Linked DNA regions of Ovis aries. The protein of the gene in region 1 interacts with the protein of each later gene in a biochemical or structural test. Links are inferred from orthologs where the notes say so. Each region holds a gene or a part of one and is shown in the gene's direction. Other genes may lie near its edges.

Region 1 (2,643 bases):
GGGACGATATAGAGGAAAACCAAACCAATAAAGTTTCCGTTAAGGTCTTGAGGAAAATGGTAAACAAGAAAAAAAAAAAAAAACCAACTATTAATAGCAAAACAATTTCTGACAGCTGCTAGGAAGAAAATAAAATAGTGAGGGACCAGAGGCAGGAAGGAGAGACACAACTTCCCGAAGGTGTCTGAGAGGTGACGTTTGAGACCAGACTAAAATGACTAGTGCCTTCCGGTGACTTGACGCCGAAATATTCCGAGAAAAGAGAATTAAAAGCAAAAATGATCCACAAACCAAGAAATAACAGGAATTTCACAGCGCCAAAGTGAGCGGCGCAAACCAGAACCTATGAATTCCGGAGCGGCGGGAGAGTTTGAATATTCATGTCCAATCAGGGAAAGGCTGAGACCAGGCAGCGCGGGCTCAGTATGAAGTATCCCGAACCGCTGGTGTCCACAGGAAGCCACATCGCAAGGGCCTAATTCGTGATCCGGCACCCACGCAGCTGCCAAACTCGCAATTCTTCAGGGCTGTGATGCAGTGTTCGAAAGACCCGGGCTTGGTCGTGTCCTGGGGTCCTTTCTTAAATGTGGATAGCTGAAATCACTCACTTCGTTTTGGAACACCGGTGACACGTACCCAACAGAGCCACCAGGACACAAGTCTAGGAGCAGTCTCAGTATCCTAATTTAGAACTGACTCATACGAAAGCTAAGCAGCAGTGAGGGTTAAGACGCGCCCTAGATTCAAAAGCAAAGCCAGTCACGCGCCAGGAATCTCAAGTCATAAGGGCTTAAAAAGCTACGTGTGTCATCTTCTATTACTTTTAGCCAACTAGAGTAACTTACTTTGTGAGGAACTGAGGAGAAACAAGTGAACAAGGCTCTTTTCTGGTGATTAGGTGGGTGGCTCTGAAAAGAGCCTTTGGAAAATCAAGCGGCTTTGCGACTCGTGCGAGCGCCGCGTCCCAGCAGGGACTCACTTGGAGCTGGTGTACTTGGTGACCGCCTTGGTGCCCTCGGACACGGCATGCTTGGCCAGCTCGCCAGGCAGCAGCAGGCGCACGGCCGTCTGGATCTCCCGAGACGTGATGGTTGAGCGCTTGTTGTAATGCGCCAAGCGCGACGCTTCGCCCGCGATGCGCTCGAAGATGTCGTTGACAAATGAGTTCATGATGCCCATGGCCTTGGACGAAATACCGGTGTCTGGGTGCACCTGCTTCAGCACCTTGTACACGTAGATGGAATAGCTCTCCTTGCGGCTGCGCTTGCGCTTCTTGCCGTCTTTCTTTTGGGCTTTGGTGACGGCTTTCTTGGAGCCCTTCTTGGGCGCGGGAGCGGATTTTGCCGGCTCAGGCATTGTGAAGCAACGCCGTTTGGCAAAAAAAGAGGTATGAGAATGGGCGGGCCTGATCCATTTATAACCACCGTATGCAAATTAAGGCTCCAAAAGTCTTACATTCCCATTGGTCCGTGGAGAGACCTTACGTTATCAGTAATAGCTACAGAATAACACCGACTCTTAACCTTATTGGCTGTTTCAGGAGCCAATTTGGGACCAATGAAAAGCTCGTTCCTGACCCCACCCCTCAGAAAACTTATAAAGGCTTTCCAATTGCTGATCTTTCTTAAACATTTGCCGAGGGGCTTTGATCTTTAAGGGTACTACTGTTATCTTTAGTCATGTCTGGTCGCGGAAAGCAGGGAGGCAAGGCCCGGGCGAAGGCCAAGTCGCGTTCGTCCCGTGCAGGCTTGCAGTTCCCGGTAGGGCGAGTGCATCGCCTGCTGCGCAAAGGCAACTACGCTGAGCGGGTGGGGGCCGGCGCGCCCGTCTACATGGCGGCGGTTCTGGAGTATCTGACGGCCGAGATCCTGGAGCTTGCCGGCAACGCGGCGCGAGACAACAAAAAGACGCGCATCATTCCTCGTCACCTGCAGCTGGCCATCCGCAACGACGAAGAGCTGAACAAGCTGTTAGGCAAGGTTACCATCGCGCAAGGCGGCGTTTTGCCCAACATCCAGGCCGTTTTATTACCAAAGAAAACCGAAAGCCATAAAGCCAAAAGCAAATAAAGCCTTACAAAGTAAACCAAAGAACAAAGGCTCTTTTTAGAGCCACCCAAGTTTTCAAAAAAAGAGCTAATGCGCTATTTTGTGATCAGCCCTTTATTTTGACACTTTGGTGGTGGCTCTTAAAAGAGCCTTTGGGGTGAGTGGGGATGGTATCAAGCCTCTTAATTACTTATTCTTGCCAGGCTTGTGACTCTCCGTTTTTTTGGGCAATAAGACTGCCTGGATATTGGGTAAGACACCGCCCTGGGCAATAGTGACACCCCCGAGTAACTTGTTGAGCTCTTCATCATTTCTCACGGCCAGTTGCAAATGGCGAGGGATGATGCGCGTCTTCTTGTTGTCTCGGGCGGCGTTGCCCGCCAGCTCCAGGATTTCCGCGGTCAGGTACTCCAGCACTGCCGCCAAGTACACCGGTGCGCCGGCCCCCACCCTTTCGGCGTAGTTCCCTTTGCGCAGCAGGCGGTGCACTCGCCCTACAGGGAACTGAAGGCCAGCGCGGGATGAGCGCGACTTGGCCTTGGCCCGAGCTTTGCCTCCCTGCTTTCCGCGGCCTGACATTACTGCTAAAACTGCA
Region 2 (4,236 bases), on another chromosome or scaffold:
CCCCGTACCATCCCTCTGGGTCGTCCCCGTGCACCAGCCCCAAACATCCAGTATCATGCATCGAACCTGGACTGGCGATTCGTTTCATATATGATATTAAAGTTTCTTTAAAATGCATTTTAACGGCTTTAATTCTACGTTAGGACTCTTAAAGAGGCATTATCTTTGCTTCTGGGTTATAACAATCCCAGGCTTCCTCCAGGTTGTCTCTGGTTAGGGAGCCCATTAGGGCAAGGAGGTTGGGCAAAGAAGAAGGTAACATTGTATATATATAAAAGACCCTTTCAAGATCTCTCATTCTAGGTATTTACGCATATATGCGTACTATTTTTTTTCTGGATAGAATCATAAGAAAGTATTAAAAATGTTTTTCTTTGTGGAGAAGGACTTTGGGTAAGAGGCATAGTTATCATTTTTCCCTTTAAAAATATTTCCATTGAGTTTGAAGTTCTAACTTATATATATATTAGTTTCATTTTTTAAAGCGATAACAAGGCTTATTTGGACTGTGGGATTATGGGTAATTTTTATTTCCTTAAAAGAAAAAACTTGGTAATATTATAGTTTTGTTAACAACAATAACACCCAGCAAAAAAAAAAAAAAATTCCTAAACCTGGATTCCATCAGAATTTTTTGCCTAATGTAATTCACAGCTTCTTTGTGGGATAAAGCTCATACCTAATACAACGTGTAAGCAATTTTCTGATAAACTCTAAAGGAACTGAAGACTTGTTCTAAGAAACCCACGCACCTGTCAGTCAAGAGTCTAATTACCTCTACCGAAACATAATTTCCTTTTGTGTCCAACCTAACAATGATTATCTATTTCTATAAAACGTCCCGATCAAGAGTAAATCTTTGAATTGGCTCAGTAGACTCCTTCTCCTTTGCAACAAGATGTGTAATAAATTTTAATAAGCGGTCATAACTAAATCACTTGAAACGTTTCCTTTCACACCAGTTTAACATGTTTTTAAAACCTTCAAAATCCTGGGGGATGTACACCTTCGTTACCAGTGTTGATGAATGACAGGGCCATAAACACTATAGAAATGTAACTATAAGAATGTTTATTCATTTGACAAGTATTTGAGTTCGTACCCACTCCAGGCTTTGAAAAGCACTGGAGTTCTACCACGTGCCAGGCACCGTTCTAAGCTCTGGGATATAAAAATGAACAAACGGTGTTGAGGGATAAAACTACAGTACCACACAGTATCTCGCGCTTCTGCCTCTTCCCAGGTGGTCTCTTCCCACGATTCTAGCGGTGCGGAAAAGCCCCGCCCGCTTATCTGCCATTTCTCCAAGCTCTAAGGAGACGAAGGGACTACAACTCCCACAATGCCATCCGGGGGGATGTCCTTGTAAGGGTTCCACTTTTTCCCTGGCCTTGCGGAGGACGACTACAACTCCCAGAGTGCTCTGCTTCCTCTTTGGGGTGTTATTGCCCCTTTCACGGTGCCGGACGCTGTAGAAACGGGCAGGAGTGCCAGGTCCGATGTTTTCTGTGCCCTTCCCCGAGGCAGGGACGAGGCGGTGACTTGACTCTTGGGCGCAGAGCCCGGGAGGGAGCGCAGGAAACGCTGTCCCTTCTGCCCGGCTCACCTCGCGCTACTCTTCCTCTTCTCCACCCGCAGCCACCTGAACTCCTGCTCAAGACCGACCGCCCCAGGCAGGGTGGTGGCTTTGCGCCCCACCTCCCCCCCGGGCCGTGGCGAGGCCGCTGCCCTCGGGGCGGCAGTAGCGGCGTCAGCGCTGGGGAGGCGAAGGAGGGAAGATGGCGTCGGAGCTGGAGCCTGAGGTGCAGGCCCTCGACAGGAGTTTGCTGGAATGTTCAGCTGAGGAGACCGCGGGGGTGAGTGCCTGGACCGGGTCTCGGATGTCCGGCCGTGGCAGGCCGCGCCCTGCGGGAGGAACCGACTCCTGGGAATCCCCGAGTGGCGGGCCCTGACTTGGGGTGACGACCCGGCTCGCGGGGCCTCGCCGTGTAGGGTAGGACTTTCCCTGGCCCGAGGAGGCCCCAGATCCTGCCCCTCTCCTTCCCTCTTTATCTACAAGTAGCCGGCAGCGCTGCTGGGTGCACCAGCCACCCTCGCGTTCCTTCCGCTCTTCCATTATTCCTCCTTTTCCCCACAGTCCCAGTAAGTCCCCCAGCACAGGGCCTTTGCCCTCTGTGCCAACTCTGCTTCCTGGGTTTTTGGATACTTTGTCTTCCTGAATCGTTTTCCGGAAATAAGCGGAGCCTTGCCTCCCCATTTGAAACCTGCCGCCTTTACTTTGTTTCTGGGACCGTTCTTGGCATCCAAAGATGCCAGCGACACTGTTCTCCGTCTTTACCCCTCCTTTTCAGTGTGTTTTTGCCCTGGTTTGGTCAGTCGACGTTACTGAATGTGCGAAGAGTTAGTGTCTTGACACATTTATGGAGTGTGAGAAAGTGGTCGTTGAGACTGGGAGATTAAAACAATAATTCGTTTAGGAGTTGGGGGTAGTTGGACGGGGAACAAACGTTATATAACTTTGAGAGAGCGGCTGTCAGTAAATGGAAGCTAATAATGTGGCCACAGCATGGTGAGAGCAGTTAATGCCCCAAACTTAAAGCATTCAAAACCAGTCTTGTACTGAACCTGTAATCTGAATATGCTCATATAAGGAGCAGAGTTATAAAACAATTAATAAAACTCGATGATATCTTTCCTCCAGAAGGACAGGGAACACCCATTAGAACAGATTGCCCAGAATGATTATGAATGGACCAAAACAGCTTAGGCCCCACCTTTCGTGCTTCCGATTTTAAAAAACTATTAATAGGGAGGAAGTGACCTTTGAGCACAAACTGAATGTTAGGAACAAAATTGTAGTAGGGCACTATGGGGCTGTTGGTTAGTGAGTTATTTTGGGCGAATTGATGAGGACACTAGAGTCACAGGGGAAGTAAATGTCAGGAGTAGAGTTGAAAAGTTTCAAGAAACACGTTGTTGAATGATGCATTTTTGTTTTTAAACCAGCTTGCTTAGTTCCATTTTCATTTACTTTCTGCTTAATATTGCAACAACCCAAGGATTTTCCCCGTCTGCCTTTCATTTATCGAGAGATTTGAAAAAAAAAACAACCGAAAGCTGTGCTTAAAGTGAATAGTAAAATGATAACAGCTGTTCCCTATCCATGTCGTCCTTTCAGTATCCATGTTGATATCTGTCCGGTTATTTACCTGACATTTTTTTTTTCCTCCCGCCGAATTTTGCCTGTGACCTAGTGGTACAGGCTATGTACTCTGTTTTCCCAGTTCTAAAATTGCAAGCTGCTATACACCTAAAACTAACACAGTATCGGTAATCAACTATACTCCAATATGAAATAAAATTTTAAATAAAAGTGCAAGTTATTCAGTGAGAGCTTCTCAAATTTGTTGAGATTTCCTGAGTGAGCAGTTATAAAAGCAATGCTAGAGACCAGTGCTCCTAGTCCTTGTGCAGTGAAATTCTCAGTCAGATGTAGTGGGGGGAATTAAGGGAAATGCAATCAAAATTTAGTACTCTGGACTTGGAGTTTGTAAAGATCAGAGTCTGAGCTACACTTTAGTTTTGCTTTGTTTCCTTTTAAATGGATTTCTGAATAATAAGATGGGAAAAAATTTACTCTGAAGGCCAACAGAATTTCTTAAAGAAGACTCAGGCTAGTATTAAAATACAGGATTTTTCAAGCAGTATAATTTGCCCTTACTTTGTGACGCGTTTATTGTCTGTATTTGGTTAAAACAGCATAATGCTTTAGTATTCTCCCAGCTTTAGCTCCAGCCCAGCCTTTGTCACAAATTAAAATGAATAAAGTTTTCTCAGGTTAAAATAAACTTTAGAGAGAATAAGCAAATAATAAATAATTATTGCAGCCTTTAGACCTCTGTAGCTGGTAATTGGTTGGGATCACATCCGTCTAAAATTACTAATAAGCACTGGTGTCATTTTCCCACACTGTATTTACACACTGGCTTTTCTTATTTGTATGAGGAGGAAGGACTTTTGTGACCCCATCTATTCTTTACTAGAATGCCTCTCAGAAGTATTTAAGCACTCCAGTACTTTTAAGTTTAGGATAGAAAAGTGACTGGCCCTATGTTCTAGTTTTCTCTTTCCTTTGGTAGAGTTGATTCTGCAAGTATGTTCAGTTCAGTCGCTCAGTTGCGTCCGACTCTTTGCTACCCCGTGGACTGCAGCATACCAGGCTTCCCTGTCCATCAC
Region 3 (4,142 bases), about 67 Mb from region 1:
GGAAGAGGACTCATTCCATGAATCGATTGACTCATTCATCAGTATATTTACCAAGCACCTACTGTGTGTCAGACACTTTGCTGAATGATGATAGTATAAGGACTAGTGAAAAGACTAGCAGATACAGTGCTTATTCTTAGTGAATTCATCAACCAACAGTGGAGGCAGACAAGTGAATGAACAGCTACAATAACGGCAGTGATCCAAGGGAGAATAATCCATAAGGCCAACATCTAATTTCTTGAGAAACCATAAATTATTTGAGAGAAATGGCATTTGTCTTTCACAGTTCCCAACTACATGATGTGTAGAGGGTAAGCACTCAGTAAAGAGTCAAGAGGCCTAGATTCTGGTCCCAGCTGTCTTTGACCAGCTATCTTTCCTTTCCATTAGTTATTTCAGTTTTCAGAGCCTGTTTCCTCATCTGTAGAACTCATCTGTAGATAATATCAGTCCGGATTAATTCACTGTGCAATTGTGAAAATTAGTGGTCATGAGAATGATATTTTAATTAATTGTAAAGATCTCTACAAAGTAAAATATGTAATCATAAGTTATACCCTTAATTTTTTTGATAAAACAGATGTTCAGCACTTCAATAAGTACTGAATAATTCCTTAAAAAAGAAAAAAAGGAAACGAAAGAAAACCAGCAGGTAAGGATCACTGTTGCCACCTTCACAGTTCAAAGCAGGTCTAATCTGATATTTTCAGCACTCTAGATAAAAATATTAGCTCTTCCCTGGTGGCTCAGACGGTAAAGATCCCCTGGAGGAGGACAGGGCAACCCACTCCAGTATTCTTGCCTGGAGAATTCTCATGGACTGTAGCCCACCAGGCTGTGTCCATGGGGTCGCAAAGAGTGGGACATAACTGAGGGACTAAGCAGCAGCAGATTATTATTATTATCCCCATTTTACAAATCAGAGGAGTGAGGCGCCAAAGAATTTATGCAAGAGCACAGTCTCTTCAAAACCCAAGCCTGCGCTGCTTGCCAAGGCTTTTGTTGAAGCTTAGTCTTTAAGATGTGCATGACTATTTCGGGATTTCTCAGCAAGAATACCGAAGTGGGTTGCCAGTTCCTACTCCAGAGGATCCAATGTAGGGATCGAACTGGCCTATCGCAACCGGATTCTTTAGCACTGAGCTGCTCCTCAACAAAACCCCAGAACCCCAGAACTCCTTAGCATCTTTTCTCCGAAACCCCGCTTCCCCAGCCTGGAAAGAACTGGCAGAGCCGTCGACTCCGCCCCATGACGTACATGGCCCCGCCTTCAGGCCCTCCACTTCTCGCGGGATCTCTCGGGAGGACGGCTGGGGTCAGGTCCCATCATGGCGGCTGAAGAGGCAGATGTGGATATCGAAGGGGACCTAGTGCCAGCGGCGGCACAGTCTGGGTGAGCAGTTGAGACTGGGCTTGCAGAGACGAGGAGGGGCACGGCAGTGAGGAGGTACCCTCTAAAGGCCGCGGTTCCGGCAAGGGCCGGGGGAGTGGAAAACTATCCCCTGGGCCAGGGTCTCCTGCCGGCCTGAGAGGCGCGCCTCGCCCATCCCGTCTGTGGGCTCCTCCTGAGCTCAGAGGGCGGGTACCGTAGACTAGCGTGGGACAGCCCATTTACCGGGATCCTGTGAGGGCGCTGACCGCGCCTAGCACATTGCATACTCTTAAGCAATTAGATTGCTTCTTCCCTTACTGCCACTCCAGAACCCGCCTCCTTGCCACCGCCCAAAAAATAATTAGAACAGGGGCGGTCCCTGGACAGAACCCAACTTAGGAATTCTTGTTCCCTCGCTTGCAGGCCGTGTGACCTTGGGCGTGTCGTTTTATCCCTACTAGCCTCTGGTTTCCTCTTCCACGTAGGGGTAGTTATGAAAAACTTCCCGACATGCAGCGTGATCTAAAAGAAAGGGGTGGGACTTAAGAGTTTGACAGCTGTGTATTGACCCAGCTAGATGGCACCCCACTCCGGTACTCTTGCCTGGAAAATCCCAGGGACGGAGGAGCCTGGTAGGCTGCAGCCCATGGGGTCGCGAAGAGTCGGACACGACTGAGCGACTTCCCTTTCACTTTTCACGTTCATACACTGGAGAAGGAAATGGCAACCCACTCCAGTGTTCTTGCCTGGAGAATCCCAGGGACGGGGGAGCCTGGTGGACTGCCGTCTGTGGGGTCACACAGAGTCGGACACGACTGAAGTGACTTAGCAGCAGCAGCAGTTACTAGCAGTGTGACTTTGGGCCTCAGACAACTCGTGTGTAAGCTGACTGTCATGTTATGTGCTTCGTACGGTTACTGTGAAGATCAAATGAAATGATTTGGGGATGTGCTCTAGTATAAGAGAGGTGCTCTGTAAGTGTTGTGTTCTTTACCTTCCCACCACGGATAGTATTTTGAGGACCCAGTGAGAGGTCACCATTTAGTACCAGTTCCTGCAGAGCAGGCCAGTGTGACTTTTAAAAAGCAGCCTCCAGCTTGAGATATCTAGCTGTTTGACTCCTTGCTTGCAGAGAAAGAAATTGATACATGCGGTTTTAAAGATGTGCTTTCAGAATTCTCTTTTAGTAATAGAAGAGGCTTAGACTGGTCAGGATCAGAAGACCTCAGTTCTCAACTCAGCCAGCTGTGTTGCTTATAACTATGAACAAGTTCATTAGAAGTCTCTACATTAAGCCAGGTAAAATTGTGAGGCTTAGACCATTTTTGACCTATAGAATAGCAATTTCACATGATCCAGCCTAATAATAGCACCTTTGTAAATTGTGAAGAAGAGTACCAACCCCTGTCCATGAGGGACTGAAACAGAGCCGTTTAAAGTTTTCCTGAACTTAAAACACTATAAAAATGAGAAGTAACTAAGTCTCCTTCAGCTGTTTAGACAAAACAGTACAAGTCTCTACAAATGAACAGAAAGCCTTTGATAACAGTCTTTCACATTTGTGTAGATCAAGTTAATCTTGACCGAGTGCTTTTGCATGCGTGGTTTGATTTACTTTCCACAATAAGTGTATGAAATAGGTGTGAGGGATTCTTATCTGAAGTTCAAGGCAGATGAGCTGCCCTTGGAAACACTAAAGATTATCTGAGAGCACTGACTCTTCCCCTTTTTCCATGGGTTTTTCTTTATTTTTATGATCGTGTTTTATTTCTCTTTTTCTTTTTTCTTTCCTTTTCTTATTGTTCTGTTTGAGCCCAAAGTCTGCTGATGGCACTTACAGTCACATTAGTCTCATGAAACCAGTAACTGGTTGTTGGTTCCTGATGGTCATCGTCATTGTCTCACACAATTCTGTAGAGCATCATGAACATTACAGTCTAGTGACAGTTGTTCCCTAGTGTTGGTACTCTAATCATGTGGAATTTGGTGTGAGTAAACACTTAGATGCCCCTCTGAATTTTTCAGTTATAGCTGATCATGACATCTTGAGGGTTAATTGAAAACACACTTTTAAGTCCTTGCTAAGTGCTGGTTACCAAGGTTAGAAGATGCATTGAAGTGTTTTGTTTCCCTTCTACCATTCTTTCTTATCCTCTGTTTCTTCTACTTGTTCTTTAAATCATAGTATTTCCAAGGAATTTTTGTCATAAGACTTCTTATTAACCATACAGTCCATCTCTCAAGGCTTAAATTTCTGTTTAAGTTGGACCATATGAAATTTTCCCAATGTTCTACCAATTTTGACCCACACAAATGACATTTAATCTTAAATTCCATCTAATAACAGGCTGATATTGCCCAAATCTGTCACCAACTCAAATCTCTCTCATGATCTTCAGATCCATTTATCCATTTTCCTGAATCTATTTGCCCTTGGGTGAGCCACAAGCTCCTCAATCTCACTTTATAGAAACTTTCCTTACCCAACCTGCCTCTTCAAGTTCCCTAGTTCAATAAATGGCACCATCCACCCACTCATGCAGGGAAGAGACCTAGATTTTAACCTTCTTCCTTACCTCTCTCCTATTAGAGAGTCTGTAGATTCTGAGTATCCTCTCAGATGTGTTCACTTCTTCCTGTTCACATTGCTTGTGCTTTAGGTCTAAGTTACTGTCACTTCTCTCTAGTATCTATGTAATCACTCCCTCTTAACTGCTTCTTGTCTCTTTGACCCTCTTCTAGTCTTTTCTGAAGTTAGAGTAGTCTT

What was found.
Region 2: the proteins of histone H2A type 2-C (region 1) and UBR2 form a complex in vitro, tested with the Homo sapiens proteins (2 studies listed by BioGRID, with this or other methods). The link is inferred for Ovis aries from reciprocal best matches to the Homo sapiens genes H2AC20 and UBR2.
Region 3: of the proteins of histone H2A type 2-C (region 1) and MYSM1, one has a biochemical effect on the other in vitro, tested with the Homo sapiens proteins (2 studies listed by BioGRID). The link is inferred for Ovis aries from reciprocal best matches to the Homo sapiens genes H2AC20 and MYSM1.

The regions. Positions count from the first base shown.
Region 1 is NC_056054.1:99,992,174-99,994,816, forward strand, and holds histone H2A type 2-C, read left to right. Parts: upstream 1-1,626; 5' UTR 1,627-1,679; coding exon 1,680-2,069; 3' UTR 2,070-2,119; downstream 2,120-2,643. Other genes in the region: histone H2B type 2-E, read right to left, coding at 976-1,356; histone H2A type 2-B, read right to left, coding at 2,235-2,627. UniProt on the Homo sapiens protein: Core component of nucleosome. Nucleosomes wrap and compact DNA into chromatin, limiting DNA accessibility to the cellular machineries which require DNA as a template.
Region 2 is NC_056073.1:16,292,535-16,296,770, forward strand, and holds the start of UBR2 (E3 ubiquitin-protein ligase UBR2), read left to right. Parts: upstream 1-1,415; 5' UTR 1,416-1,494; exon of another isoform or gene 1,495-1,638; 5' UTR 1,639-1,778; coding exon 1,779-1,856; intron 1,857-4,236. UniProt on the Homo sapiens protein: E3 ubiquitin-protein ligase which is a component of the N-end rule pathway.
Region 3 is NC_056054.1:33,411,433-33,415,574, reverse strand, and holds the start of MYSM1 (deubiquitinase MYSM1), read left to right. Parts: upstream 1-1,321; 5' UTR 1,322-1,331; coding exon 1,332-1,396; intron 1,397-4,142. UniProt on the Homo sapiens protein: Metalloprotease with deubiquitinase activity that plays important regulator roles in hematopoietic stem cell function, blood cell production and immune response.